Struthio camelus: one gene and its partner. The protein of the gene in region 2 purifies or fractionates together with the protein of the main gene of each other region. This does not show direct contact. Links are inferred from orthologs where the notes say so. Each region holds a gene or a part of one and is shown on either strand. Other genes may lie near its edges.

Region 1 (16,060 bases), on a different chromosome or scaffold from region 2:
AGGTGACAAAGTGGAGCTCACTTTTCTCATCGCGTTGTTTTTGTTTGTTTGTTTATTTTGTTTTTTTTTCTCACAACGAAATGAATCCCTCAAATGGGGAATGAAAGAGTTTTCTCTAGACTGTTAAACATTACAAATAGGCAGAAATTCTGCGGTGCAGCCTGAGAAGCTTTCTTTCTTTTAAAAAACCTGATCGCAGTTCCCGTCTCCTGAACTATCAGGAAACGAGCGCTCCTGATTATGTAACTATGCAATGCAAGGGAGAAAACGCCGTTTCGGTGGAAAACGCTAACAGCCCTTTTCTTTTGCAAATGCCTATCACAGACTTTGTCCCGGTGCTCAAGGGCCCTGACAGTCCCACCTTCCCTGATATTTCCACCTGGATAACCTGCAACGTTCCCCTACAGCCGCAGGTACCGCTGTCCCTTCCTGCGTACAAACCTCAGGTTATCTTGCAAAAATAGTGCATGAATGTAAAGGTATACACATTTTTTTGATAAAGAGTATATGCACATATAGACGCATAGGGTCAGAAAACTTTTAAAGGCACAGGATCTAGTGAAAAAGAGCGCACTTTTAAACTTGATCAGCAAGGATCGCCATCACCGCACATCTCGAGGACAAATATTTACAGTGTCAATTTAACCGTGGGAAAGGATTAGCAGGCGCGAAGTCAAGTGAGGAAACTTCCGCGCCGGCGGGGCCGCCTGCGGGTGCGCGGCCCGGGGCCCGCGTCCGCTGCCCCGGCTCCTGGGGACCCGCCTCGGACCCCGCGGGACTGCACGGACGCAGCCAAGGTGATAGTCCGCTGGCAGCCAAGGCCGTCTCCATTAAAGACGCCAGAAAAGTAGCAATTGTTTTCCCCGGGAATTTCTGAGACCTTCTTTATCAATCGTAGCGTAAAGCTTCACCGTGAGCCAGAGAGCAAGGTTTCGCTCTTGCAGGGCACAGGCAGAGAGCGCAGTATATACACGCACTCATCTCGGCCGCTGCGCCGGGCGCGCTCGTAAATTCCCCGTGCGGGTAGGTGCGCTGGGCTCCCCCCGGGGAAAGCAGGGCGGGCGCTCTGCGATCCCCCTCTGCTCGGCCCCCTGCCGGCACAGAGCCTGGGGACCCTCCAAATGTTGCTGTAGCTTTTGTTTGCGGGGGTTGCCTCCCCCTTCCCCCCCTCCCCCGGAGGAAGGGCTCGGTCCCTTCCACCTGCCGCGGCGCGGAACCGCCTGCGTGTGTTTGCCCACCCGTGCGCGCTCATGTGTGTGCCTGTGCACAGCTCAAACGAAAGCTGCAGGGCAAAGCAGCAGCTTTTGGAGTCCGAATTTCTGCCGTGTGTCCGGGCAGGCGACAGAGCTAACAGGGCCGTCTCAAACGCTTCTGGTTACTTGAACACAGCTCAAAAATCAAGTATTCCTGTAGGTGGCACTGGTACTAGGTGTTGTAGAAGCAAACGCAGAGATGGAGAAAATTGCCTAGAAATTCCCAATTGGTTCCTATAATTTAACGCAGAACAATAGAGGTATTTTTTTCATTTACTCTAAATTCATGTAACATGCGACAAATGAAAACCCGATTGCTTTATGAGAACAAAATATGCTTTTAAAATCTGGCCCTCTGTAGCTTTATGGCCTGGTACATGAGAATTGTCTATTTTCCTATATGTCATTAAACAAATCCTAGTGCAAAGAGAAATTAACTCAGCACCGCTCATTCAAGTCAACTGTTTGCACCAGGAAAGCCCTAATGAGACACTGTCTGGTTTCCAGAGGGGTTGCTAAGAACAAGTGGCGGCAAAGTTATTAAATCTGTCCAAGCAACTAACACATCATTAAGAAACCCCCCCAACCCTCCCAAACTTGACCTGAATATTCCAGCTAGGGTGGACAGTGCAGGGCAGCCGCCCGGCGGCCGCAGCCGGGCGGGAGCCCCCACGAGTGGGACCCCTCGCCCCGCGTGGGGAAGGAGAGGCAGGAGGGAGCGGCTTGGCTTGGGGGGCCACCGTGGGGCTTCGTGGGGGAGCCCACTCTGCGAGGACGCCGTTAACTCTTTGCCCGTTGAGGCACCGCTGTACCTTTACTTCACCTGTTCATGCGTCTGCCGTGTGCTACAGCGAAGTGCAAGCGCCTGCTCGAGCCTTCACTGAAGAGGGTTTGCTGGGGACGGGGGTGGCGGGTGGAGGTGTAAGGTCAGTCACTGCAGAGCAACCGGGTCTGTCTGTCACCTCCTCACTCCCGAGGGGAGCAAAATACATCGCTTCTTGCCGGCGCCTCCACCCAGAGGTGTTCGCCACCGCTCGCCTGACCTTTCACGGAGCTTCCCAGGCCCCGTCTCCCGCGGGGCCGGCGGGGTGGCCCGTCCGCGGCGCCCCGCGGCGCCCGGGACCCGGCAGCGCCGAGGGCTCCGTGGGCCGCAGCGGCGCGGCGCTCTGCCGCCTGCTGCGCTGCGGCTCCGCGGGGCGCGGGCCGCCGGCGGAGCCCGCCGAGGGCCTGGCCTTGCGCCGGGACTGCCTGCCTGGGCACGGACAGGGCTGTACGCTTTTGGCGGAAAACAGGCAAGCGCGGAGCCTCGGGGAACCGCTGCCTGAGGACAAGCGAAACGTTTTCGCTCCAGCCGGGCAGCTGAAAAAATCCGACACTGCAAGTCAATTTTTTTAACGGGTGAAACGGACCCTCCCTGCTCCTTCAGGGCAAGACCCCGCGGCAAGAAAAGAAACTACTACTTTTTTCAGGCGGCTGTGTCCTACCCAAAGAACATGACATTCAAAAGTATTATCACAGGGGAGGCTGCCTTGATTTCTTTGTATCTGCCGTTTCCCCCCTGGTTTCGGGGTCTGCCACTGCCAATGTGACTCTAAGACCCAGCTGCGTGTTGCTCGCCATTGCTGCCTAAGAGTGCCCGAAACGGTCGGACGTGGGTTGTTTGTATTTGATGAACCTCTGAAAAACAAAACTTCCTCCTATTACGCTTCCGTGCTCCGATCTGTCCCTGACTGCGAATCGATTCGCGAAAGTTGAAATACCCACACAGACACACAAACAAGGGCACTGTCCTCCCCACTCCCTACCCCCAGAACTGTTTGAGGACAAGACAAAATCTGAAGTTCTTTCGTGAGCATTTCAGAGTTGTTGCAAGTACTTCCATGCGCTTTTCAATCTTTTGTTAATTGAATTAATGTAAAATATCTCCCTCCCCCTGGGATTCGCATATACTTTCGCATATGCATGCAGGCAGCGTATGTGAACACAAATGTATAGGCATTTGTTTTTTAGTGAGCTAAAGTAAGGCAGTGGGCAGCAATAACAGAAAAGACACGATATCTGTACCAAAGAAGGATCGTCAACGTTTCCCGGGACCATTCTCAGGAAGCCTTCTTCCCCCCTAGAGGGGGAGGACAAATGGAAAACGAGGGCTGCCCCTATAGCAGGGAAGGAGCCGGGGGTCGCCAAGGGGCTCGGAGGGGCTGTGGGAAGGCGGCGGTCCCTGTCTGCAGCCCCACGCTGGCTGAAGGGGTCATCTCCTTCGGAAAAAGCTCCCCTCTCCTTCAGAGCCACTTCCAAGCAAGGATCTGCCAGGCACTTTCTTGAAGTGAGTTTGTCCACGGCTGCACAGGAGGGTGGACACACCTGAAACCTGGGGTTGAGGCCAAGTATTTTCGAGGCAGCAGGCTCGGCGGGGAGAGGGAGAGGGGAGCCCAGGGCCACCTTCCCTTGGAGAGCGCGGGGCGGCGGGTGTCCCTGCGGCTGTGCCCCCGGCACCTCGGGGCCGGTCAGCCCCTGCCCTCACCCCTCTCGGTGGCAAGGTGCCTCCTCTGACCTCCTAAGCTACGCTGCTCTGTCGCGTAAGGAAATACCCATGGCAGCCGCTAACAAGCGAAGGCCCCTTGTTCCTGCATTTAGTTCCTCACATATCGCAGCAAACGCAAGCGATCCTGGGAGACACCGTGGGATCTTCTACCCCAGGGTCTAAGAAACACTCTGTGCAAAATAAAAGCCTCATTTCAAAGCTAGGTGGGTGTCATCTCTTTCTACACCACACGGCACTTTCGCTCCGGGATCGGTCACCTCCAAAGGGCAGGCAGAGCCCTCTCGTCTCGCTCTCTCTTTGAGGGTTATAACGGTCTCTGCGTTTGCCCTAATACCCTCTCTGGTTGCTCACTCCTCCGCACACCGTGTGCTCAGGTATAGCAGCCCTCCTTGCCAGAGGCCGGGGGGTCGCTGCCCCTTCACCTGCCTCTGCCCTGCTTTTCCTTGCCTTTCTTTCAGAGCTGTCCCCAAGCCTCTCTGACGCCGCCACCGCGTTGCCCCCCATCCCTCCCCCTACTCCAAGGTGCTCTTTGCCCTTCGGGTTGTCCCCAGAGGTTCCGGGGGGCTCTCGCGGATCTGCCCTGCGCCCGTATGCCTGGGGCTGGGGAGGAAGGGGGGGGCAGCAGGACGGCTCCCTTCCGTGCTTCTCCTGCCACCAAGGCTCAGTGGCTCTAAACTCCCGCCACATCAGACCCGCGCCTTCCCCACGTCACCCTGAGCAATCCTGCTACCCGTGCAGGGGACCTTTGCCTTCAGGAAGGGTCACAGGGAGGCTTTTTACTTACAAAATATCTTGCGTATGAGCATCCTTCTGCCTTAATAGCTCCTCAGTAGTTACCTCCCCCCACACAGTCGCTGAGAGGGGTTTAGCTTCCTTCCAAAAAATCATTAAAAATCAGCAGCTTCAAAGAGGGGCTGGGAAGGGGAGGGGGGGTGTCACGTTTTATTTGGCTGATTTCTTCCTTCAGTGGGAGAGCAGAGGAAGCTGGAGATCAGTGAGGCACTAAATCACGAGGAGCCTCTACTGAAATACTGGAAGGCCCTCATGGAGGAAAGGCTCTCTCTGAAGGCGATGCACGGAGATGGGAGCTGTCTGCGGAAAACATGCCGAGGTGAGCGTCTCGCTGCCGGGAGTGGGGCAGGCTGCGGGCCCTTCCCCAGCCTGAGCCAGGCCAGAGAGGGCGGGATGCCGCCGTGCCCGGGGAAGCCCCTTCTAGCGGCGGAGGACGCTCAAAGGAGCCCGTGGGAGAAACGCTCCCCGAAGGCCCGGGCGATCCCCTCTCTCCCCGGCCCCAGCAGCGCCGGGGCTGGAGAAGCCGCTAATGCACTTAGGGGGGAGGGTGGACGGGAGGGGGGATCGCCCGGGCCTTCGGGGAGCGCTTCTCCCGCGACCTCGGGGCGCCCCTGCGGCGGAGCGGGGCTGCCCACGCAGGCTCTGCCCAAGCGGGGAGAGGGCGGCTGGGGAGGGAAGGCAGCCGGCCGGCCACGCACCGGCTAGTGCCGTCGGTACACGCGATTTCCTACCGAAAATCCACTCGAGCGAGATTTCTCGAAGGAAAGCGGGCGAGAGAGCCCGGTTAGCCATGCGAGCAAGAAAAGGGAGAAGCCGAGGGGCAGCATCTTGTTTCCCTCTTGTATCCCCCGATAAAGATGTAGCACACGCAGAAGTAACCCCCGAGGGAAAGGCGGGCACCGACATGGGGGGCTCTGACAGCAGCGTGCACAGCTCAGTCCCTCTCTTCAGCACTGCCACGGTGAAGGAGAAGAAGGGGAGAGAGGGGAATCTGGCTCTGAGGTTGCCCTTGCCCGGGTTTCTTTCCGCACCTTTGCGTTGCTTTGCGCAGCCCGGGGGGAGCCCGCGGTGGGAGAGCGGGTGCGCGCCGGGCGGCCGCCTGCGGAGCGGCGAGGTGACCCGCACCTCGGGCGAGCCCCCTCCCCGCCCTGCCCGGCCACGAGTGCCCTTCCCGGGGGGAGGCACCTCCTGCCCCGCTCCCCCTCCTGCCCTCCCCCCGCCCTTCCCCTTCAATTCTTCAATTATTTCGTACCTGAAAAAAGTAATCTCTTTGCCAGGCAGGTCACAAGCGATCACCAGGCTGTTGTATACTGTAATGTTTTCATATTCCTCTCGGCTCCCCCTGCCCTCTACCGACTCACTGTAGTTGTGACCTTTGGTATTTCAGCCCACACTCAGCAGTTGAATGGAAACAAGTTGAGCACGTTCACTTCTGATAAACATTATCCTTAAACCACTAGAGACTCGAGCAGAGTAAACGAGCTTTTCCGACAGGACCACATCAGGAACACACATTGAGTAAGGCAAAGAAACCAAATAGCCAGGGGATCAGAGGCGGGCTCGGGGGTGGAGGGGTGGGAGAGGGAAGGAGGGGGAACAGACAGGTTGGAGAACACGGCGGGGGGGACAGAAAAGGACACGATTGTCAACACAATAGGCACAGATGGGGAGAGAAATTGCCCAGGCAAGGCGAGAGAGAGCAGCGCAGGGTCACATCCAGAGCATCAGAATAACCCTGGGAGGCGGGGGGGCTTCAGGGGCTCAGAGCGGGCCCTGCATCTCAGGAGTCCCAAGGCCAGGCTTACACAAACTGTGTGCCTGGAGATCGCCCCCACTCGCACTTCGCTACTCAGTTAGAGCGGAGTTGAAGAAACAGGAGGAAAGGAAATGTCTGTGCAACACAGGCGGCCGAGGGGTCCCAACATCGCGGTGCAGAGCTGCAGTGCTTGGCTGCGGCAGGAGTCGCCTGGCACGTCCAAAGCTCTCGTTCAGTAAGGCAAGGGGAAATTGAATCTGGAAAAAGGGCAGCCTTGTAAGGGATTCGTCTAGCGATTATACTGTGAGAAGAAGTATAATATTAGTCGAGATCGGAACTTTTATGAACACGCGCTCCCCTCCATTGTTATGCTACATTACATGATTAAACTAATTAAATGCTGAGTCTGGGTCCCACTAGTTCGATACCTTCTCCCTTAAAAATCTCTGAGCAAAGCAACTCAACTCAAAACGTCAAAAAGGGCTAATGCCTAGCAAATGCCCGCGAGGATTCCCTGCGCAGGATGCGATCCCCTCGGGGAGACGGTATTTGCCCATGTGGAGGGGGTGCTTTTATCAAGGCTGAAGAAGCACCACCATTTACAAGTGCGATATTCTAAATGCGTAGTTCGCTTTTCTGAACAAAAGGCACAGAAATTCCGTACAAAATAGTTATTTTTTAATGCCTGCGGAGGAAATAAAAGGATCTGCCGATGTTCCAAACAAATAAAATCATGCCTGCGAAGGAACCACGACCGCCTTCTTCCCACCACAAAACGTCTGCAGCATGCCATTAATTTCTGGGTGATTTCCTATAGCATCCTACTTCTTCCTAATTATGCGTATTCACTGAGATATGTGCAGGCTCTGACATCCAGCTCACTTCATTTGATTTTTACATAAGTATTACTTACAAATATTTCACTTAAAATAATACTCATACAGGGTTCATACGCTTCAGAGACAGCAAATTTATATTTTAGTCGCTGATATTTCGTGCACTCCAGTCAATATATTATTTATTTTAATTTTTTATTTCATTTCTAGATCCCGTTTCTTCGAGGGTCGATTAAAAAATAACAAACAAAAACTCTCAAAACATTCGAAAGAAAAACACGATAAATTCTTATTTGGAGTTAGGAAGCCTCTGATCTCTGTGTAACATGATGTATGTGGGATGCGTGTAAGAGGCTCACACACACAAGCTGGCAGATTAGCCAAACCAAACACGTATCACTCTCTTCCACATACACAAACACACCATGACCCACACATACTTTAATTCCTAGCAGCTTTGTCTATTTTTCTTTTAACTGTTAATACGTAGCAGTGTCTTTGATAAGGGTTGAAATCAGCTGCAAGGCGTTGACATTTTACGGTGCTATATTTTATATAGGGATTACGACTAAACCCGAGACGGTCTTTACTTTGACGGCCGGGGAATATCAGCACCCCGATGGCCAGGCGCCGCGACCTCCGGTCCGTCTTCTCCCGGTGCAAGCGAAGCTGCGGCTGATTTCGCGACCTGCTTGTAGTTCCCGTGGAAAATAACTTAACCTTCATCGCTCGCAACACTCTCTTGCGTTAACCCGTGAAATGTTCATTAGTTTAAAAAAGCTTTATTTAAAGATTACAATAAGGCGGTGGTAAACAATAACTTTCTCTCCGTCACATGCAAAATCAATGTAGGAAAACCGTGCGTGTTTCAAGGCGTCATTATTTTCTTCTGTAAAAGCGCCGGGGAGGGAAATCTCTAGTTACTGGCTATAAGCCCCCCCGTCCCGTCCCCCCTTATCCTGGACAAGGGCTGGGAAGGCCGAAGCGCCGCCGCCGCGGTGCTGCACGGCGGTGCCGGGCGCTGCGCCCTGCCAGCCGCGGGCACCCCAGGGCGCAGCGGCCCGGGGCAGCGTGCCCGCCCCCGGGCACAGAGGGCCCCGGCCCCCTCGCAGGGTGATGCCCTGCCAGAGCGCTAGCCCCGAGCAGCACGGCCCCGGCATTAATTGCACTTTCCGTAAAACTTACTGCCAGGCAGGTATTAAATAGTGATTTCTATTGTACTGGGGACCCAGGTGCCGAGCACGCCTGCAAGCGAGAGCGGAAGGGCCGCTAGGATTGTGCTGTCTGTCATCTCCTCTGGCCATTAGGAGGGCGGCTGGGCGGCGGGGCCGCCCCCGGGGGCGGGCTCGGGTGAGTGATGGGCTGCAGCGCCCTGCCCAGCCCAGCCCAGCCCTGCCCACGTTGCCCTGAGGTTGAAATGCAGAACTCAAGGCTCTGTCTTCGGGAAGCAGACTTCCTTGTAGTCCTTTTTCCCCGCACCCTTGCTACCTCCTCAGTGGAAATCAGAGAGCTAGTGCAGCCGGGAGCGCAGGCGGCTGGGAGCGCGTCTCTGTTGTTAGGTCTCCGTTTGGGATTCAGGGCAGCCTCAGAGGTGTCCTGCTCAGAGGAATGGGTAAGTGGCTGGAAGCTGCAGGAGGGTTCAAGTGCTGTCAAGAGAGAGGGAGCACCCGCGCACCGTTGTGTGCCGCCGCAGCTCCCTTATTGACTTTGCTCGTGTTCCTACAAGTTGTAAGAACACGTTAAGGGTCAGGAGCAGGGAAGAGCGAAAGCTAATGACTGCTTGGTTTATTATTAATGTTATTAGGCGAGAACGAGGGAGGATAGCAGCCGAGCGGATGGCTGGAGCCTGTGGCACGCTGTATATTATTCCTGACACCGATCTGAGCAGTTAACATTTTAGCACGTTTGTTTTACAGCCTGATGTAATTGTGCTGTTAAGCGAGAGGCGCTAACAGCACTAGAAATAGTCTTTAAAAAGTTAGTCGCGACCAGTCTTTCAGAAGCACCGCGTTGCCCTTGCCTCTCCCAAGATTTAGCAGAATTTCCTCAAGTGCTTCCCCCCCCCCCATGTCTTTGAAAAAGGTTTTTCTTTCCTTTTTCTTTTCTTTATTTTCCTTTTCCTGTGGCAATAAAGCTGACTTGTCTGGTGGGGCGATCTCATTTTTCATCTCTGGAATGTGCTTGTTTGGAGTATGCTTGATGCACAGTTTAGAGAGCTTTGACATTTGTTGCTACTTTTTTTTTTTCCGGGGGTATCCCGTTATTTGAAAGAAGTGTGCGGGGAGTGACTGGGGGGGTCTCTCCGAGCTGTGACATCTACCTTTCAATGACGGATAGGTCGGACGCCCTCTTCTGAACCGTTTGCATGTCCAACGGGTGTGTTTGTGTGTTTGCTTGCAGAACCTGCCTTCGGGGAAGTGAACCAGCTCGGGGGGGTGTTTGTCAACGGGAGACCCCTGCCCAATGCCATCAGGCTCCGGATTGTGGAACTGGCGCAACTGGGTATCAGACCGTGTGACATCAGCCGGCAACTGCGCGTTTCCCACGGCTGTGTCAGCAAAATCCTGGCTCGCTACAACGAGACCGGCTCCATCCTACCAGGGGCTATCGGAGGCAGCAAGCCTCGGGTCACCACCCCCACGGTGGTAAAACATATCCGGACCTACAAACAAAGGGACCCGGGCATCTTCGCCTGGGAGATCCGGGATCGCCTGCTGGCTGACGGAGTGTGTGACAAGTACAACGTGCCGTCGGTCAGCTCCATCAGCCGCATCCTCCGGAACAAAATTGGGAACCTGTCTCAGCAGAGTCACTACGAATCGTACAAGCAGCACCAGCCGCCCCCACAGCCGGCTCTGCCCTACAACCACATCTACTCCTACCCCAGCCCCATCGCTGCTGCAGGAGCCAAGGTGCCCACGCCGCCCGGGGTGCCCGCCATCCCCAGCGCCATGGCCATGCCCCGCACCTGGCCGTCCTCCCACTCGGTGACGGACATCCTGGGGATCCGCTCCATCACGGACCAAGGTGAGACGGGGGAACCGGGGCCGCGGCCGCAGTGAGGCAGGACCACCGTGTCTCCACCTGGCTCCTTCCTCGCCGGGTCGGAAGGAGGGTTCACTGATCCGCCTCGAGAAACCTACAGATTTGGCGTATTTTTCCCAGCCCGAGTTAGCCAACGAACAACGTGCCCCGTGACTCGGGCAGATCAGAGGTCCCGGGGATGGGCTGCAGGCTTAGCAGCAAATGTTAAATATCGGGCGTCGCCGGTAGCGCCGTGGCCCGAGACGTGGCAACTTCGGCTGGAGGAAAGGGCCTGGGGGCGGCAGGCCCACGGCCGGGGTGCGCTCAGTCCCGGCCCGGCCCGGCCCGGCCCGGCTCGGCCTGGCCCCCGCACTGCCGTCCCTGGCCCGGCCCGGGCTCGCGGCCGCCCTCGAGTCACGGGAACCTCCTTGGCGTTGCCGAGAAATCCGTTCTCTCTAGTTTTCGCAATCAGGCCAAATTTGCCCAGGCAGGAAGTTCAAATGTCACCTAATTGCTTTCATTCTGATACTTTTGTTTTCCTCCGAAGTGGTGGTCCAGGAAAACGAAACCCTGAAGATTTGCTTCTTTTATCCTTTCCACCTTCTCTCTGTTACTCCGGCTGGAAACTGTGTCGCCTCTCCCAGCCGCTCGCTAGGCTGTGCCGCAAAGAAAGGGACATTTTTTCCATTTCGGTCTCTGCCAGCGAGCTAACAGTGAATGTGGTTAAAACAACAGTCTAAAATAACCTTCGCCTACAGCGATCTCTGTGTCCCACTCTTCCCTCCCAATTAGCAGAAGGGGCGGGAGGGGGGGCTGATTTCTGTTTTCATTGCGTTTTTAACGGCAACAATCCAGTAGCAAATTACTACTCAAGTGTTACAAATACAAATTACTCCTTTATGTATTACAAAATAATTATTTTTTTCACAAAAAAAAGAACAGCTGATTATTTTTTCAAGCAAAATACATACATGCGTACATATACACACACGAACAAATGTGTTTGGGAGCTGAGTTTAGAAAATACGCTCCTGGCAGTCTCTGTTCTATGCCGGAGAGAGGTAGTGTTAGAAATGAACATTACAAGGAAAGAGAACATAACAATTACATGAGAAAGGGAGATTTTTTTAGTGAGTTCCTCTTTTATTAACACCACATTGGCAGGCAGGCCTCTGACGGTGCTGCCGGGTGTCTAGCTATCCCCCCGGTCTCTCAGACCTCGAGAGCTGCATACGTCTTTCTGCAGCGTAAAATCTCACCCCCCCCCCTCCTTCCCAGGGCAGAGCTAGGGCTGCTGAGCAGCCGATGCCGCAGATGGGGGCTGCTTGCCCTTGATTTATAGGATAAACTGACCTTGCTGACATGGAAAGGAAGCCCCTATTCATGGGAAAGTGTGAGATCAGCAGAAAAGGGCGCTCACCGAGAGAGCTCAATTTCTTAAGACAACTTCAGATTTGTGCCTTTCCCCAGCCTCGGCGAGGGGCCGAGCGAGGCGGTGTCGCAAGAAAGCCGCTTCCCACGGCTGCCCGGGCCCGGCGGCTCCGCGGCCCGGCTCAGCAGCCCCGCGGGTTCTTCCGCGGCCGGGCGCGGGCGGCTCGGGGAAACCGCTCCCCCCGCCCGGCTCCCCGGCGTGTCCGCGGAATTTGCCCGGTATTCCCATGGCACGGCCGATGATCGTGAAAAGGATGGGACTTCTCTCTCTCTCTTTTTTTTTTTTCCTTCCCTTTTCCCTTTTTGCTCCTTTCCCCCCCCGCCCCTTTAATTTTTTTCTCAGAAAGTTGTTTGGAGCCTGGTTCATTTTTCAGCCCTATCAGGGTTGTCTCTAACAGAGGATATCGTTTGACCTCGGACACACGGACACAGACACATACACACACACACACACACGAGGCGATTCACGTAAATCTACCTTGGGAAACCCTGGGGGGCATGTGACGGGGGGGCAGCTCTGTCCTGCCAGCGCTGCGACGGGAGGATGAGCAACATCAACCCGCTCTGCGCTTTGCTGGCGATTTACTTCCCGTTTCCATCAACTGTACAGTAGAAAACCGAAGGGAATAGCCGATTCTCTCAGGGGATCCCCAGAGGCTCAGGCCGGACATATGCAAGGTGTGAGGGGCGAAGGAGAGATTTCCCCTTAGCTCTGCCCCGCAACCCCCGTCCCCCAGCGCCCTGCGGTCCGGAGCCCTCTCTGCACTCCCGGGGCAGGTCCCGCTGGAAGAGGGAGCCGTGTCCAGCCCCAGCAAACTGCCCCGCGGCCCAACCAGCGCCTCTAACTCCTGCCTTCCCTGCTGTGTTCCCCAGCAGCGAGTGACACGTCGTCTTACCCCAGTCCCAAGGTGGAGGAATGGAGCAGCCTGGGCCGAAACAGCTTCCCCCCCGCGGCCCAGCACGCCGTGAACGGGCTGGAGAAGAGCTCCCTGGAGCAGGAGGCCAAGTACAGCCAGGTAAAGAGAGAGCGGGGGGCGGGCGGGGATGCACAGGGCGTCTGAGCGTGGCCTCCGGCCGGCCCCCGTGCTGCGACCCTTTCCCGCTGCTCTTGGTTTCAAGACGCTCCGGCCTTCTTTCAGCGGCAGCGGGGTTTTGGTTTGCAAACGAGCCCACGAGCCCATAAGGAGAGGGGACGCCGGGAAAGAGCTTCGCTCCTTCCTTCCCTCCTCTCCCCTCCCTCAGCACAAACAGCAGCCAGGCCCCTGGGAGACCCTAGCCCTCCTTTCTCCTGGCGGCTTTGCCTCACCTGGCTTTGCTGGTGCCCAGCCCGGGCCGCAGGGCTGTGCCTCTCGCAGACGGCAGGGGAGCACCCGCTGCTAATCCTTGCCAGGCGCCGCACTCCAAACGCTGGCCCCCGCTCCCCCCCCCCCCCCCGCCCAACCCGACTAGCCGACACCCGAGAATCGCCGAGCACCTGCCCCTGCAGCCTGCCGGCGGGGCCGCCCTGAACCCCGCCGCCGCGGCGGCCCCGTCGGAGCCGGCCCCGCCGCCGCCGGGGCTCTGCCGCCGCCCAGCCCCGAGCCCTCGCCTCGGCCCGGCGCCTCGGCCCGCGCCGGGGGGCTCCGCGCTGCGCCGCGGAGCGGGGCCGCGCCGCCCCGGCCTCCCCCTCGGCGGCTGCCCCGGCTGCGCGGGGCGCGCCGTGTTTCGCCGCGCTGCCACCGCCGTCCTTCAAGACACACTTTGCACTGTCCGCAGCGAGTACTGTAGGCAGGGGAATAATTTGAAAATGAGGTGTAATTGCTTCCTACATTAAGTATTTTTAAACGCTTAAGTAGGCTGTGAATTTCCTACATATTAATTGCAACATAATATAACTGTTACTTAATAAATCTCTGTCTAAATCTTTGTACTTGGTAATCAAATCCCATGCCAGGAGACAAGCTATAAAAGACTTAACTGTTACTAGTTGGGAGAGCACAGCTTTTGAAAACGTTGCCATGCAGTGGAAACAAATTTCTAAATGTATCAGAGGATACATTCACTGCCCTGCAATTCGTTTGTTACACTTGTAATTAAATCAAGAAAAAACTACCGTCTCTATTTAGCATGTTACCATTCAAGAGCAGAGTTTTTGGACGTATTTGCTGAAGTTCTGTGACTGGTTTTGGATTCCGTACTAAAGAGTGTTCTGTATCTGCAGTTTGGTGCTGAGAGTAGTTGAATCAGATCCTTTCAAAATCAAGATGTTGAGCGTACATCGAGCAAACGCTTTCAAAAAAGTGAATGAGGCAGAATGGGAAATATTGTAGGCCCCAAACACGAGCAACCAGCTTACTACATGTATCACCTTGCAAACGATGTACAGGCCTTAATGGTATCCTATTTGTTTCCCATTACATTCTTACTATTATCCCACTATTATTCTGTTCGTTTCCTCTTACAAATAATGTGTTACGTAGTATAGCCATTAATGCAAAGTGGAAGATAGAATCAGGTTTAGAATTAGATTTAATATTTAACTTTCCACAGTTTTGTTTAAAAGTGAAACAAATAATGCGTCAGCAATCTTAATAAAAATTATGGAAATACCTTGTCATTATCCTGCTAAGAACAGCTGTACCATGGTGACGTTGTCTTAGGTTCCAGTCTGGGCCTTCTGCGCACGTATAACTTTCAGAAGCGAATGATTCTGCTGACGTATTCACAGGATTTGGCTCTGTTAGAATCAGACTTGCCTTAACAGAATATTGAGGAATAATGTTATATAAACTGGACTATTTTCAGTGCTGATGTTGGAAACTTTTTTTTTTTTAACTTGTTTCATTCTTTCAATATGTATGCTTTCATCTTCATAATATGTCACTGCTTTACTGTCAGTATCAGTTTCATTTCAAAGTTTCATTCAGCCTAAAAGGTTACCTGGTATGTGTAACTTAAACATACGGGCTATTTAAACATGGAGCAAATTATTATTAATAAAATGGTATTCATTTATCAAAATATATTGTACAGAGATTTTAAAAGAACAAGAAAGCTAAAATGTGATTATCCAAAATGTCATTTTCAGAACTTTGTACACTCAAAAACGATACGGAGTTGATTTCCACCCCTCCCCCTAAAAGTAATAAGTATAAACAGAATTTGGCTTTGGAAATTTCTAATGCATAGACCAGGCTATTCACACAGTATTCAGTCTTGCTTATCAGAGAATTCATTCACACGTACATTATTTGCTTAATGTCTTATAAGTATACTTCCTTGCTAATTTAGAATATATTCAAAGAAAATAAATGTCAAATAAGAATGTGGAAATATGATTTTCTTCAGTTTTTACAAGATTTTTGTAGCTAAAGGAGTTGTTCTAACAAGGTGCAAAATGAAATTCATAAACTGAATTCTTGCAGCATGTAGAACTGACTTACTAGTTTGCTGGTCTCTGAAGCACAGTGAGTCTGGTGACATTCTCTGCCAATTAAGTCTGACCAAAAGCCTCTGACATGTCCCTGGACCTTTACGTAGTCTCTTGCAGAGTCTAGTGCTTTGGATGTAAATAGATGAGCAGGAGACAACAGAGAACATTAGTTCATTTATATGGATCCAGCAAATGGGTATCTGGAGCGGTGGAATACAGGGAAGCCACGGTCATGATTTATGTGCCAGGAGGACTAAAGTGAAATAGGCTCTGTCTCCGGGCTTCAGGGCAAATGCTATTTTCCTCATCTGCTTTGTGCAAAGCTCATTATAGAATTCTGGTCTTAAGAAGGCTGACACCAGAGGTCTCGCAAAGAAGAGAAGTGACTCATCTGTAATACCTACTCCACTTGTAAAACCAAAGTCAGTGGAGCCTACAACAGGAGTAGAGCAGCAGGGAATCGAGCTTGTGGGCTTTACGTAGGCTTTCCAATTACACGACAGGGGTAGAGGGAATGTGCTGTGAGGCACGATAACAAAGGGTTTCATGTGGATGACAGGGAGAACTGCTGTTTATAACTAATATCAGCTACACACTTTAAGCATCAGCAACGTTCAGGAACACAGGTTCACCTCCCAAAGTGTGCAAATAGCTTCAGAGCTAACAGATGCCTGAAGGACTTCTTCCTCCAGCCTCAGTTGTGGAAGATAGTATTTTACTTCTCAAGAAATCCCCTGGAAACTCTCTCTGCATGAAAAAGACTAGAAAAACTGAGCCTAAAGAACAAGGTCTTCTGTACTTTTCAACTATATTTATTTGATCCCTCCTTTTAAACCATGTAACTTTGTTTTAACACACCAGATTCTGTAGCCATTTTTCAGGCAAAATTCTTATCAAACTGACACACTTGCCAGCAGCAACGAAGGCTGATCTCCGACCAGTTCGGAAGGCTGCATTTCACTCCTTACCCCATATATCAGTGAGAACTCTGCCTGGGAAAGGAGGCAGCAA
Region 2 (15,349 bases):
GGTCCAGGCATTAAAATAGAACAGGTACCAGGGTTTGCATACAGGATGTGTCATTCTTCTCACTGTGGAGATCACTGCACATAAAAACCGGATACATAGGTTCTGGCAGCAGCAGGCAAGAAACAGCAACATACGAGCAAAGTGAATTTTTGCAAATACATGGAAAACAGCACTGGCACAAAGAGCCAGAGATTCACGGGGCATGAGAATCAGTGCACTGTAGGCTGAATTCAAGATCCCCGATTCACTTCGGAGGTCTCTGCTGTACCCCTGACCTACACCTCCAAGCAGAGCATCTGTCAGTACTGGGGCCAGACTTAACCTTCAGTGCTGAAGGGCATCAGGCCCTGAGAACTACAGCGATCTTCGCTGAAGACAGAACGCTTGGTAGATGGACCTGGTCTGATCCCATATGTCCATTCTCAGATGTGTCCGACTGGGGAGCCACACTGACAGCACAGATGACCGTCTCCAAAGAGCTTTGATCAGACGGTTCTAGAAACAATCTCTTCAGAGCCTTAACTGGCAGCTTTCAAACCAGGATTTGAATCCCAGTTTAACGCATATTAAGGAAGGACGTGATTTTAAAGTACAATAGCCATTCTAGAATAACTGTACGCATAGACAAGCTATTAGACATTTCTATTGATTTCATCAAGCAGCTAATAAATCGAAAGACAACCTGGTATCTCAGCTGACTACTATTTTACCTCTGCCTGGGGGATTTCTCTACAAATTCCCATCTCTGTAACAGCAAAAGGCTGCTACCCAAACTACTTACAGACCTCTCAGTTGGAGTTCTCTGTTTAGATGCATTTTCACTTGAAAAGCATCTACTTTCAATGACAAGTATCTGCTTAGACACACGTAAGGGTGGCAGGTTATATGATCCTTTTAAGTTCTCCCTGGCTTTTGGAAGCCCTTAACCTGACCTCCTACCTAACACAAGCACAGAATTCTACCCAGCAATTCCCAGACAATTTGGGTTTGAAAGACAGCCTATCCTAATGGGTATGCAGGCATGAATTCATTTCATTCACCGGCAACTTTAGTTTTGTTGCTGGGAAAGAGGAACGTCTTTAGCCTGAAACTCTAATTTCACCTTCTAGCTAACTGACGCTGTTTATGTCAAGTTCAACAAACAAACCCGCAGAAGTCCAAACCTTCCACCACTATTGCCCCACATAAATAGTTTCAGACTAAACTGTTTGATTTTAAATTTTCCATGAGCTAAATCAAGCGAGTGTTTAAAATCCCTTACTGGAAGGCACTGATTCAAGGACAGGATATTCTCATGATTCTTCAAGTGCACTCTGATTTTTCAGCATTTTTGAAGTGCAGGGAATAAATCACTGGCAGCGCACCATGCCACACACAATAGTTAAGTAATATGATGTTCCTTCTTCATATTTCCCTGATAATTTAAGATCAGGGGAGATAGGTAAATAAACTACTCCGAACTTACCTAATTGCAAAGTATGATCCCTGGCTTGAACATGAAGTAAGGATTTCCTAGTGAGCTTAAGGGATCTGTTTTTCTTCGTAACAAACTGACAGCATGTAAACCAGTAACTTTTTCAAATCAGAGCACTAGAACATCTCTTCCCAAACAAAAAAAAAAAAAAAAAAAAAAGCATATTCTTGATCTGAAAGTGTCAGAAAGTGGCATATTCACCACCTCCCTTAGCCTTAGTTTTTTCCTAACAGCTGATCACTTCACTGTTAAAAATGCATGTCCTATATCTAATTCAAGTGAGCCTAGCTTACGCATAACAAGAACCAGTGGCTGCAAGCTTTCCTCTACAAGACTGATGAACGATGTAGTACTTGTTATTTTCTCCCTGTGAAGCTTGCTTACGTATTGGAATCAAGTTATCTTGCTGTTTTATTTTTGATAAAATAAACAGACTGAACCTCTGTAGACTATTCAATCAGAAGGGACCATCGTGACAAAGATCAACTTCCTGTTTAGGAGAAGTTATAAGAATTCTTTACATTAATTCCTGTTTTAACTATGGTATAGTTTTCAATTTCAGCATTGGGCAATTCCCAGAACCCTAAATAAAGCTGCTCCAACAGTTAACTGCTTTTAGTCCATTGTTTAATGGAGATTTTTCTCCATAAAAACAAAAACAAATACATAAAAAAGAAAGGCAGAAAGCAGAAGGAGTTTTCAGTCCGGATCTGTTCCTTCATCAGGCCAGCGATGCAGGCAACCAAGCTGCCGAATGAGTGGCCAGGAACAGACACTGCTTAAATCAGCCTTGTTCCCGAAAAAAACGTCCCAGAAGAACAGCCTCAGTTCTTAAAAATCCTCCAGCTTAAGACTTCACCACTCACACTACGGTAAGCATAAGTTTTTCAAAGTTTAATTTTTTTATGTGCAGAAATTTTGACACTTTTCTGTACCCTCTCTAGATCAAGTCTTCTTTTTAAAGCATGAAAATCTCAAATGAATGTACCATGCTCGCTACCATGCTACTACAGAGGTAAAAATCATCTTCCTATTCTTCACTAAGAAATTAAACAGCTGCATTCACTGATTTAGGCAAAGCAGCTAGTCTAACATCACACTGGTTTCCCCTAGGCTCTACAGTTATTTTTCTACAATCCCCCCTCCTCTAAGAGTGACCTATGCTCCTTTGTTCCTAAACGTATGACCTCATACTGAGTTCTACTTAAGTGCTTATTGTTTCACAAAACGCAGCTTATTAAGCAATCAGGATGACTCTATAACACTGAACTACCCACCACAAACCTGCAATCTATATGAAATAACTTATTTTGCTCTTCTAGACCTTTAATGAACATTAGATATTGTTGGCTTGAGATTCTGAAAGACCATTAGAAACACATCCTTCATTACAATTTCTCATTAACAGTTGAAATTATCTGTGACTCCTTCAGCGTTATATCAATTTTGCACAATACTAATTATTGTAACTAGAATATTGATTGTAAATTAATTTATAAATCTCACATCCTGACCAAAAAAAACCAACTTAACCAAATATGCAGTCTCACAGAAAACAATAAAATTGATTGACAAGACCAGTTTTCCTATAATCATATTTCATACAATCACCTTTTCAGTTCCTAGTCACTACTATATCAACTCTTAATCTACCCCGGAGTTAGCTAACAACTCCTGTATAAAGGATTTAAACGGGGACCCATTCATTTTCCTCTGGCCCTCTGAAAATTTTACAATGTTCCAGGATTAATGAAAAACTGAGTCAATAATTTAGACAGCTTCAGTGTCAATTCTGTCAAGATTTCAGCTATGCTAACACAGACCTTCCAATTTTAAAACACTTAGTCTTATCAGGACACCCTTAAGGTTATTTGGAGGCCTTAACTGCACTTCTCCATACCCGCATTCTTTAAAGCGATGACATTTAGTCTGAAATTCCTCAATTTTAATGCTTGGCTATAGGAAAATAGCATTTTAAATATATTGTCCTGTATTTTCTAGTCCAAGTAGTAAGTGGCTTCCAGTGTAAACTGGATTTTGAAACTGATGAATACAGCAAGTAAGTAAGGCTTAAGTAATCTTTATTAGTCATTTCTTCACTGCAACGAAGCAACTCTACAAGTAGAAAGGAAGATTCCATTTCCAAATAAAAGTTGTAGTAGGAACAGCATAATATGCTCTACATAATATGCTCTTTTTATTATTGAAGCCACATCGCAAATTTGTTAAGACATTTGCTTTCATTAATATACCTACTTCAAACAACAATGATACTGTTCTCAAACAATACTTTTTTTTGTTCCTCTAAATGCCCCTAACCAATAATTTACAGTGCTTTCAAAATCTTCCAGAATATAAGGTCAGCATTTGGCATGCCAAATTTTGCAATAACCCACTGTTGCAGCTTACCATTTAATAAGGAGAGCATAATAAATGGTGTTTTCAGTTCATAAAAGAAGAGTTAACTGCAACACGGCATGCGATGTATTACAAACAAGCCGTCTGCCATCCACTTTTCTCTATCAACTTTCTACCTTTGGTTCAACAGCACATAATCAAAGCATTTCTGATCTACGGAGCACATTAACTTCAAGCAGCAACCACCACCAAAAAAGCCTCTCTTCTGGCCTGAGCACTTTGCTGCCATTGGGACTATCTACTTATGCTCGAGACTGTTGATAAAAAGCATTCACCTTGCTTTTCCGTGTCACATAAAACACGAGTCACTGAATATGGTTATTGTTGCATCCTTCAAAAGATAGTCGTTTCGAGTCAACGGCAGTTAACATGGAGATTACAGTGTCCCAGAATCATTAAAATAAGAGCAAAATGAAGTCATCAGTCATCAGATGACTGGAATGAACTGAACTAGAATGAGGAGTAAGAAAGTTTCTGGGCGCTCAGGTAAAAATTCTGTGAAATTCTAGCACCACCGCGCAGAAATCATACCTCCTTCCGTTATATTCCTGGATATTCTTTCATCCTGTGAGCATGAAACTAGCATCCAGAATCCATCAGCTCTTTCACCCAGACATCTACAGTATGTCAGATACCTTGATGATCTCCTCCTCACAAAACAGTTCACTGTCCTCCAAACCTTCACCAAAAGACAAGCTACCACACATGTTTTTTTCCCAAGCTTATTTGGTGCCCAGCTAATGCTAGGGGAAAGGTACCAGAGAAAGAAATGACCCCTCCCTATGACAGAAGAGGGAACTCTCCTCACTGTGGTCTGGTGCTGAAATATCAGGGCTGGCTTACCAGGAATAAAGACTTCATGATGAATTTATGAAGTCACAGTTGGGCACCACTGGTCTCACATACAAACAACTACTTTCCACAAACCTGTGGTTGCAATGCAGACACAGAAACATAACTTCATCTTCATCTGCTGATGAAGTTTAAGGTGACAGACTTTAAGCCAAAATAATGCAAGGCCAGCAATCAAATTATGAATTTCTTGTGGATCCTGACAGTCCGCGGTGCCTGCTTGCTGTAGAGCAACCCCAGCATGTAATCTGAGTAAGAATGCAGGCAGAAGCTTCCGCTGGACATACGAAGATTTCCAAACATCAGCTGTTGCTGAACAACGCATTCAGTTGGAACATACATAATTTTGTGAAAAGATCAGTATGATTTGTAGCTTACAGCACCGCAAACCACTTGATTTTATGGGAAAGAACAATAACTACATATTTATTATGTTTCCTGTTTTCAGGAGGAAGGCCAAAAACGACATCAACTTCAAGACTTTCTATGGTAGATTTGTGAGGGCTCCCTCTAGGTGCTAGGCCAGTGAACGAAAACGCACAAGTCATCCAAGTAATTATCTAGGGTAGTTAAGAACTATGGTAGCTAAGCTCTCATGAAAAACAGGCCCTATGTAACCATTAGGTGCCCTTAGCAGCTTCAATTGTTTTCATTCTAGCTCTAAACATGTTCAGTGAAACATATGAGCACATATACAAACAGATATTAGCTTTTTAGTAAGCAGTGATGAGAGTATGCTGAGAATGCAGTTGTAATAGGTAGTTTATTCTTCAGGGGAGCTTTTCATTTATGACTCTCTAATAGATAGTGTAGCTCACAAAAAGCATTTATTATGGGTTTTTAGCTTTTTATACATGCAGCCAAACAACATTGATGAGATATTTAAACTAAATCACAAAAGAAAAAAATCTTCAAAAAAAATTCTGTTCTGCTCACAGTTGCTGAAATACTGTTGACAACATACAATCCAAAAAGATTTTCTACTCAAAAAGATTACATAAGTTCAGTGCTGACTGTATAATGAAAACCATCTTACCCCCTTAGCTATGAGTCAGTATTTGGCTCAACTGCATGAAAAGGGGTATCAGTGTATTCTACCTAGATATAAATTCAGGGGTGTTCTTGTACACATTCATACAATCGCAAATTGTGACTCTTCTGGAAAACAGCAACATCTTCCTCTCTGATGAGATTCACATTATTCGGTCTGTTACAAACCCATTTCTTTCATCTCACGACAGTAAAACATGACGAGTTGCTTCACTTTATTTTAATTCAGTAGGAAAGGGATGGTTACCAACAAGAGTCCCAACAATGATCAAAACATGAAACTGAAGAGCATGTGATTTTGAATGTTATTTCTTCGAACTCAATGTATCACTCGCAAAACTTCGGTCTACGTAAATGTTTTGTCAGCTTCACCTCTTACTGGATCAGATTTAGGGCTTTCAATAGCCGTTTAGCATTCTAGTTGTTGCCGTCATGTTAACTACCTCAAGCCAGCTGCACCACCCCAGACTTGCACTACACTCTACTTACAGAAAGAGCACTTCTCCCAAAATAAAGATGATTCACACACGTTCGTTCATTAGATCTTTACTTTAAGAAGCCCCTCTCCTCACTAGAACAGTTGTTTGCCCCTTTAAAAGAACTAAGAATTATGACTACACAAACTATGCTTCTAAGGTCTTAGAGTAATTCTCAGCAAACAGAGTCAACTAACAAAAGGAAATTAGAATTCACACCACAATTTTGAACATATTACACCATCAGTCCAGATGATGACGATGTAGATGAAGGCTTATTATTCTTCCCACTGTGTATTGCATTCTAAAATGGTGGCCATGTCTGTCTAGGATTCAGCTCGCAAAGATACCAGTCAAACTCACAGCTGCAGAGTTAGATGTTGTTCAACTTGAGGGAATAGTTTACCTGTATAAAAACTATGCCAGACCTCAGGTGCAGCCAGCGGAAGGCCACCGTGGAGCCAAGCAGAGGCGAGGAGAGGACTCCACAGCCCTACAAGACTACAATGCCAACATGGAGGGCAACACCCAAGCAGCTGCCTCCTCTAGGGCTCTGCACGGGGACTGCTCGCCCCAGCAGCGGCTCCAAGACCAAGGGTCTGGCCAAGTTGGAACTTCTTGGGGGCCGAGCAGCGGGGGCAGCGAGGAAGGCACTGCTCGGCCTCCCCGACGAGGCGGGGAGCGCAGCGCGGCCGGGCCAGCCTCTCCCCCCCGCACGCACCCACCCGGCAGCCGCTCCAGCGACTTTCCTGCTGGGCAACTCCAACACTTGGGAGCGACTTTGCCGCTGACAGAAGGGGCGTGCGGGTCGCCTTCCAGCCCCGCGACCCCCGGCCCGTGGCCATTTAAACTTTACATGGATGGAGAAGAAGGAGGAGGAGGGGGGCGGCCTGTTGCCCCCCACCCCCGGGCCGCGGTGCGCACCGCCCCACCTGCCCCGGGGTCACCTGCGCGGAGGGGCCGCGCGTGAGGGGCCGCCCCCGGCGGGAAGGGAGGGCGACGGGGTGGCCGCCGGTGCCGACCGGGCCGGGCCGCCACACAAAGGCCGTCTCCCCCGGCGGCGCCATGCGGGCACTCACCGGCGGCGGCCGCACCTTGCAGATGCCCGTCTGCTCGGCGATGGGCCGGATCTTGTGGATGAAGGCGAAGGGGTCGGCGAACTCCTCCCAGCTGGGCTCGAACACGGGGCACTCGGGCGGGGGCAGGAACTCGGCCATGGCCCGGGCCGCGGGGGCGCCGGCAGCCGCTCCGCCGCCAACCGCCGCTCCAAACAATCCTCCAACAGACGCTGGGGGCCGCCGAGCGCCGTTCGAACGGGACGTGTGCCTCCGCCGGGAGGGAGGGGGGGGGGCGCCGGGAGGGAGAGCGAGAGGCAGAGAAAAAGAGTCCGCCCCGGCCTGGGCGGGGGGAGGGAGGGGGCTGGCTGCCACCCCTCCCCCCGCGCCCGCCGTCACGCGCCGCCCGCCCCGCGCGTGTCTTTGTGCGGGGGCGCCGGGGCGGCCGGGCCGCCCCCCACCCCCTTCCCCGGCCGCAGGCCGAGGCACGGCCGGGCCGCGGGCAGGCTCGCTCTCCGGGGGCGACGGGGGGCTCCCCCGGGTCAGCCATGGCCACCCAAGGTTAAGCGTTGCCGCGCTCATAAAGCGGCTTCGGGGCGCCCCGGCGGAGCCCCGGCAGTTTTGTCAGAGAGGACAAGAAACGACGCTGGAGACGCCGCGGCCTTGGCCGGAGGGCCGGGAGGCCACGCGTTATGGGCGATTCTTTCCTTCCTCTGTGGTGTTCGTGCAGAGCGAATACGCGCTTGTTATTGTTTCTTTGCGCAGTAGAGCATTACGCCTGAAAAGGCAGCGCACTCCTCGAGTTCAGTTTGGGAAGAGCAGCCCGGACAAACTACTCGACAATCCTCCTCCTTCCTCGGCTGCTTGCCTTCCCATTGCCCCGCTTGATCATGAAGGTGCTATAAAACCATTTCTTTTGGACTCTGCCTCGTTTTTAGGAAGTTGCCGCTGCATCTTGCGTGAGATGCACCCTGTATTCGGTGTTGAGGAATTAAGAAGATGGACTGAGACCTCAAAACCTGTCGTTCAGAGATCTCCTTTATGGAGCATCGCCAGCTCGAGCCACAGAAACGCGTCCTTCCTCCCCCTGAGGACCTCACCGCGGAAGTCACACCCAGCAAAGCCAAATTCTCCCCTGGCTTCTCAGCCGAGCAGGGTCAAAGTCTAGCGAGGCTTCAGCCCTCCGCTCCCCGCCCAGCGCGCAAGATGTCCGCTCCGGACAGGGCGCTCCTTCCCCGGGCCCGCTCGCCCTCCCTGCCCGCGCCCGGCCCCGCAAAGCACAACGGCTCCTTTGTTGCGCAGCCCCTTCGGCCCAGGCCCGCGCTCCTTCCCGCCGCCTCTCAACGGCGGAGCCTGTCAGCACGGCTAATGCGGGCGCCACCCCCGACCCCCACCCCGCGGCCCGCGCTCCCTGCCGCCCCCCTCACAGCCCCAGGCCGCCTTGGGGCGGGCCGGCCGCGCCCCCGCTCCCCGCCGGGGCCGCCCCCTCCCCTGGTGCCTCTACAGGGGCTGCTCTTTGTGTGCCGGCGGGGCGGGGGCCGGGGGCGCGCCCGGCCCGGGAGCCCCGGGGCCGTTAAGACTCTCGCGCGTCGGCGAGCAGCACATGGGCCTCCAACACGGTGCCCCTCCGGGAGCTCTGTTTACATGCGCGGAGGGATCCGCCACAGCTGACAGCCACCTCCAGCCGGCGCTTCTTTTTTTAAAGAGCCTCTTCGCTCCCCGTGATTGGCTGCGCCGCGCCGCGTCACCGGCCGGGGCGGTGCCGCGCCGCGCCGCGCGGACGCATTGTCTCGTCCTGGCCCGGGGCGGCCGCCGCCAGTGTGCGCCCGTCCCGGTCCCGGTCCCGGTCCCGGCCGCGTCCGCGGCCCCGTCACAGCTCGCGACTCCCGAGCGGCCCGGCGCTGCCCGGAAGCCGCGGCGCGGAGCTCCCACCCGCCCCCCCCCGGTTCCAGATAGCCTGGTGGAGCCGGTGCCCGCGGCCGGTCCCGTCCCCCCTTTTGTTCGGCGGTTCTGCCCCATTGTCCGCGGGCCGCCGGCCCCCGAGGGCGCGGGGCAGGGCGTGCCGAGGGGCCCCTCCCCCGCTACCGGGGTGAGCGGGGCTCCCCCCCGCCCTGCGGGGGCGCGGTGAGGCGCCCCTCCCCCCGCAGCGGGGAGAAGGGGGCTCCCCTCCCCCGCGCCTGAGGAGGGCGGGAGGCGGCCCTGCCCCCCCCGCAGGGGCTCGGTGCGGGGGCGGAGGCGGCGCCCCCCCCACCCCTTTCTCCCCCCCGCTCGGCAGGCGCCGCACGTAGCGCACGTGCGGGCCGGGGGCGGCCCCGCGCTGCGCCCCGCCCCGCCCCGGCCGCGAGCAGCGCCGCGGGGGCGCCGGGCCCCGCCCGCCTGGTGCCGCCTCAGAGCCGCCGCCGCCGCCCCGGGTCCCGCTCTCCGCGCCGCCGGCAGGGCCCGGCCGCCTTCCCCGGCGCCACGTAATTTCGCAGTTGCCTACACTGCGACATACTTCATTCGAACAAGCCTAGTTTTACACCAAATGATTCAGGTTGCTTCCTGCGCGTGCTTTGTTCTCCAAATTATTTGGCGAGCTCTGTGTCACTCGCTAATCGCTATTTATTTCGTACTCCCTCCTGGATCACTGAAGAAATACCGGAGCAGCACCAGGCTGCCGTGAGCTCCCGGGACCGCACAGCACCACCTCCCCTTCCACGCTCCTCCCCTACTGCCGGCTGGTCACTCACTGACAGCACACAGGCTCAACCGGTAGAGGTTTTTTTTTTTTTTAATTAATAATGTGCCTAGTCGAGCCCTTTGGCACACCCTCTCCTGCCGCACGCTGCCCTGGCAATGCAGTTTTTCCCCTTCCACACAGGAGAAGCAGGCGGTTAAAGATTAACTCCACGCTGTTGACTGTGGTCTCTACGAGACCCTCGCCCCTACCGCCGGCTCAGGTTTGCTAGTTGGCCTTAACCAGCCATATGTACCCAACATCCTGCGCAGCTGAATTAACTGCCGCTGTCGGAATTTGTATTTTCAAAATCTAGCGACAACCCGTCTCCCACCATTAACATACTCTATCTTTCCTTGGGGACAAGTAGGGCTTTCCATACACCCAACTAAGTCATCCTTTTGGGCTCGGTAATAGCAATTATATTGTATTTCCGGTCTTCAGGAAGAATTTCTTTGCATTTGTTACCCAAACCCAGGAATCCCACCGACAGTTTCTTCCTGCAGACTCTGCCTCTGTTTGTGCTACGGAGACGCCCATTTTACTACAGCTGCTTCTCCACTGAAGCTCAAGTCATGCATCTTCTGGAGGCACCTTGTCTGAAGAATGGTCCCATGCACTGCCAAAACGCAATAGCTTTCCCAGCCTCTAGCTGTCTCCTGTCAGCATATTTCAGGGGATGGAGTGATTTAAGTTAAGAACACTTAAGTAGCTTAATACGTAAAGCAGCATTGTGCTATTTTTAATAATTGTTCCAGACCAAATTAAAGCTCTCTGCTATTGCAATTCACGATTAAGATCCAGCACTTAAACACACACACAATGCCTGCAGTTTTTAATACAACTTCAATTATTGATATAAAATTTTGCTCCTTCAAATAAGATTTGTTCAGTGTTATTGAAAATCTAAATAGGTTTTCACTTATATAAGTGTTAGCTACTTTCTGAATGCATTGGTTGAAAAAGTCAAATATACCTGAGATGGAGAGGGGGCTTCTGAGCATGTAAGCAGCTAGATGGTTTAGGAGCACGAATCCCTTAAATCGACAGAAAGCTGATGGCGCTTGCAAATACAGCCTGAACTTCCAGCTTACCAATTCCTGGCTGAAATCTAGTGGATGATGCAGAGTTCAGCAAAGCTGAAATATAAAGGACTATTAGATACCTTCCAGCTCTGCGCTTCTGCACAGATAGAGTCACGTCTCTCAGAGAGAAAGGGCTGCAGAATGAATCAATAAATGAGCAACCTGCTTAAAGCCTAGGCAGCACAGCACCTCTGTCTGAGGTGTCAAGGGCTGAGAAGCTTTTTTCTGGCCAAGGCCTTAGGTTTGACTAGTGCATTGCATCAGCAAGCATCTCAAGAAGGTGCAGCATTTGATGTCAGCATTAAGCGCTGAGCTTTTTCCTCAAAGTCTTCCCTTGCACATATGCTCTCAATTCCAGGAGTCATACCCTCACCTGTATTTAGGGAGACAACCATGCTCAGGTTGTCAGAGCCCCTGAGAGATCTTTGTCATTTGAATCACCTTAGATTTTCATCAGCTCTGAGAAGAGGCTCCTACCATTCATTTCCTTTGCTGAAATTTATCTACGGCTTGCAGAAGTCAGTGAATCTGCTTCCTTGGACAAAGCAATAGCAAGTTTAGATAGCCAGAAATCTCAAATTGTATACAAGTTTAAATACATACCAACCCCTTTTTATACCTGCACTTTATACCTAGGGAACCTCCAGTACAAATCATCTTTCAAAACAATCTAGAAAGAAAACTAAGCTCTTTAATCCTCTTCAAACAGATGCTCTGCATCACATCCAGAACTCAAGCGTCTCCAGCACAGACAGGAGAATGTTTTGAGCAATGGTTAATTGTGACTTTGGGTCTGAAAGTTCCCCAGGAGTTTCAAGGATTGTTAAACATCAGTGGCTTCTGATATTACTGAGAAGACTTTCTTCACTGTACGACTCTCTTAGGACTTGTTCAGTCAGAGCTGGAAGGACCATGTTTAGCAGGATCATTTCTGCTGACATAGTCAGGTACAAAGGCCCCCTGAGGGACTCGGATGGGAAAATACTAAGGTAAAACAGGTGCCTTACCTTGGAAGTTACAACAGAAGAGAACACACACTTGCTACAAAGATCTTAAAATGAGTTGAGGTGGGAGATGAGTTATCAAGGGATGAGCCATGATAAAAAGTAAGTTCCTTGAAGGGAGGGTGAGGTGATTCGGGTCTGGCTGGAATGATGGAGGTTTCTGAAGGTAAACAGTTAAGTCCTGGAGGGATGCCCCCTTCAGGCATCTTGCTTGTCTTTCCACCTTGCTACCTGCTAATGCAAATGCTTCATCAACACAAATGAAAACTTTTGCACGCTGCTTTCTCTTGTATCCTACTTCTGCTGTGACATCTGCTTAGCATTAGTTGTATTCTGGGGATTAACGTGGCTTTTTTGCCTTAGAAACCAATGGCTCTGGATTCTGTGCTGAATTTCCCCAAGAACTGCAGAAGCACAAGTTGAAGAAAAGCAGATTTTACTCAATTAGAATGAGAATGCAGACATGCCTCCTTGATGGTTCAGTTGACTATTTCATTAATTAAAACCTCATTACATGGGCTTTCTTTGAGCCTGTTTTCTATGTTCCCAGTGAGCAGAAATTCTCATTTGCTGCAGTTACAGAATTAGACCCAGGAGGGCTGGCAGCCCTCAAAGACTTGGAGAAGATATCAAGTAAGGGATCAAGTTGGCCCACAGTGAGGAGCATCAAGGCTTCTAGCTGAAGGAAAGCTACTAAGTACTCCTTTCCCTGGGACAGGAGGTTCCTGACAGAATTCCTCTATCCTCATTCCCCTCCTCATCCAGGGGCCTTTCTGTGCCTAGCTGCCTGAGCTCTGTCCTGAGGTTCCATCCAAAACTGTTCTTCACATTTTTCTAATGCTGAGTCTCACTTCCCATTCTGCCTCAGTACAGCTTTCTTTGTAGAAAGTCCTATCAACCTACAGAGATGTTTTGCTAGTCTCGTTTCTTAAGTTGCTCTTGCTTGGGATGGATGGGAATCATAACTGGGATTTTTCCTACTAGTTCAAGCCTCTCCCCTTCACTCTTCTGCAGTAGTAATTATCCATGTGGCACTGCCTATTTTGCTTGTTTATAATCAGAGCCCATATTGGCAAGCATGGGGTTAGATATCTGACCTTTAGACAGTGCAAATAATGCAAGCTCAATCTCTCCCCCTTATTTAGATGTTCTGGCTATCCTAGACCACTTCTCCTTTTAGGACAAAGGCCAGGTACCAGTTCAAGTCATTCCAGTTAAGCCAACAGTTAAGTCGGTCAGATTGGTATCTGCTAACTCTCAATCAGGTCCTATCTGTTTCTAGGCATACACTACAGAAATGTTAACTCCAGGGCAAAGAACGGCCACTCTTGAAGGGGAGCAGCTGGCAAGACACTAGGCCTCAGTCAGAAGGATCCTAGCAGCTGGGAATCCCCGTTTAGTTTGTGCAACTCAACAAGGGTTCTAATTGCAACCACCTCTTCTGGCATCCACTGAGCTCTGGACAAAGAGCACTGGAAACTTAGATGAGGAAAGCCCATTCCCTGGGCCTCCAAGCACAAAGAGCTGTCTGTGCTTAGGACACTGAAAAAGCAAAACACACACTGCTTCCAAAGGCTCAGCAATTAGCCAGTCTCAGGAGAAATACTAACATTACCTCAGGCTTCACTCCAGAATCACCTAGAAGCAAGCTGGAGTAGATCCTGCCCATGGGAGTCCAGTACACAATTTTAGACCAAGATGTCCATAGGCTTAGTACCACATGTGGAGTTTACAGTCAGATGTGTGTCATAAAGGAAACTCCTTTGAGCCAAAGCATTCATTTAATCAGCACAGAGTTTGGCCTAATTAAAATACTATGTGTTTAGAACACAATACAGGGCAGGGAGGAAAATATGCTGAGCCTCTCAGCTCTAAGAAAATAGGTTCCTGGGAACAGATTTAGTAAGCAGAATCTATGACAGATCAAACCAAACCAGTTTTCCTGGGCAAACAAACCAGCAGCCTGTAAGAACTTGCAAAGCCATTTAAATTTCATCATCAAGGCTAGAAAAGAGTTTAGCTTTCCAGAAAGAGCCAGCTGCCCCCAGAGATGCTGATGCATGTCAACCCTTGTTGAAAGCACAGACTATTAGTGTCTAGCTTTTGCTGTCTGGGGATCCTGGTTAGAAATGCAGGGAGCTTCTGGATATACCAGGCTTGGAAATTTTGTAAGCACAGCTTTCAGCTTGTAGACATGGTAGAGGGTCTCAGACTATCTCACATTGCATCTCGGCCAATTCAGAGTCCAAGTCTCAACAGAAGCATTCTTAGATGAAGAATTTGGTACAGTCCTTTGCTGGCACCTTTTGCCACAAGTCAGGAGAAGCATCAGTTTCAATAAGTAAATGTCCTGCTACTTCTTCCAAAAGCTGAGCTTCATGCCCTGCTCTGGCTCACGCACCATTCCTCCTTCGTATCTGTATGATGCTGTGTGTGTTCTGGGGAAGCCTAACAACTACCACTAGCTCTTAACTCTTCAGATTGCAGGCTGAATGTGTCAGCTACAGGAAACCATGCAGAGGGGCCACGTTGAAGGGGTAGGCAGGAAATCTGAGCCTTGTTTGTGGGCTAGAACTGAGCTGGCTGACCAAGGACGGAAGTCCCACAGCTGCACACAGCTCCTAGTGGGGACTATGTCAATAGACAGGTAAGAACAGCTGGTAAGCATGTGGAAAACTAGAATGCCTCTGTTCAAATATGGAAGTGCTTTGCAGTTATGCAACTGCCTTTAGCATTTGTTTTATTAATAAACTAAAGTCCCCTACCCTATCATTAGCTACTATTAAAGGCCGAGCAAAGTCTTGCTCCAAATCCTGGGCCAGGCTATCATAGGAACAAGGATAAGCAAGCCACAACCTTTGGAAGCACTGGGAAGGCAGAGCTGAGGTAGTTTCGCACACATTACTTCTCCCAGAGAGCTGCTGACTCACACTCAAGTTTGGGTTGCACCTCCTTGCTCTCGAGTGTGCTAATAGCAAATGGCAGCATGGGGCACACTGTGCTTCCAGGCAGGACATGCATAGAAGGTGGGACTTTTCTGATTATTACAGTAGTCAGTAAGGCTCAGGCCCTATTCATTTCTATCTTAGGGCAGGTGTCTAAAGATAGGTCAGTTATTTCACTCTAAAACCCCTTTGTCTGCACTGACTGTAAAGAGAGCCTTGGGTGACTAATTAAACTCTAGACATCTATGCTTAGGGAAGTAAACCCCACCTATGA

The links.
Region 1: the proteins of KDM5B (region 2) and PAX9 purify together in Homo sapiens (affinity purification with western blotting, with the first as the bait; 3 studies listed by BioGRID). This does not show direct contact. The link is inferred for Struthio camelus from reciprocal best matches to the Homo sapiens genes KDM5B and PAX9.

Annotation. Positions count from the first base shown.
Region 1 is NC_090946.1:56,059,835-56,075,894, forward strand, and holds the start of PAX9 (paired box protein Pax-9), read left to right. Parts: upstream 1-8,307; 5' UTR 8,308-8,790; coding exon 8,791-8,794; intron 8,795-9,582; coding exon 9,583-10,209; intron 10,210-12,510; coding exon 12,511-12,653; intron 12,654-16,060. UniProt on the Homo sapiens protein: Transcription factor required for normal development of thymus, parathyroid glands, ultimobranchial bodies, teeth, skeletal elements of skull and larynx as well as distal limbs.
Region 2 is NC_090965.1:2,925,313-2,940,661, reverse strand, and holds the start of KDM5B (lysine-specific demethylase 5B), read right to left. Parts: upstream 7,722-15,349; 5' UTR 7,488-7,721; coding exon 7,350-7,487; intron 1-7,349. UniProt on the Homo sapiens protein: Histone demethylase that demethylates 'Lys-4' of histone H3, thereby playing a central role in histone code. Does not demethylate histone H3 'Lys-9' or H3 'Lys-27'. Demethylates trimethylated, dimethylated and monomethylated H3 'Lys-4'.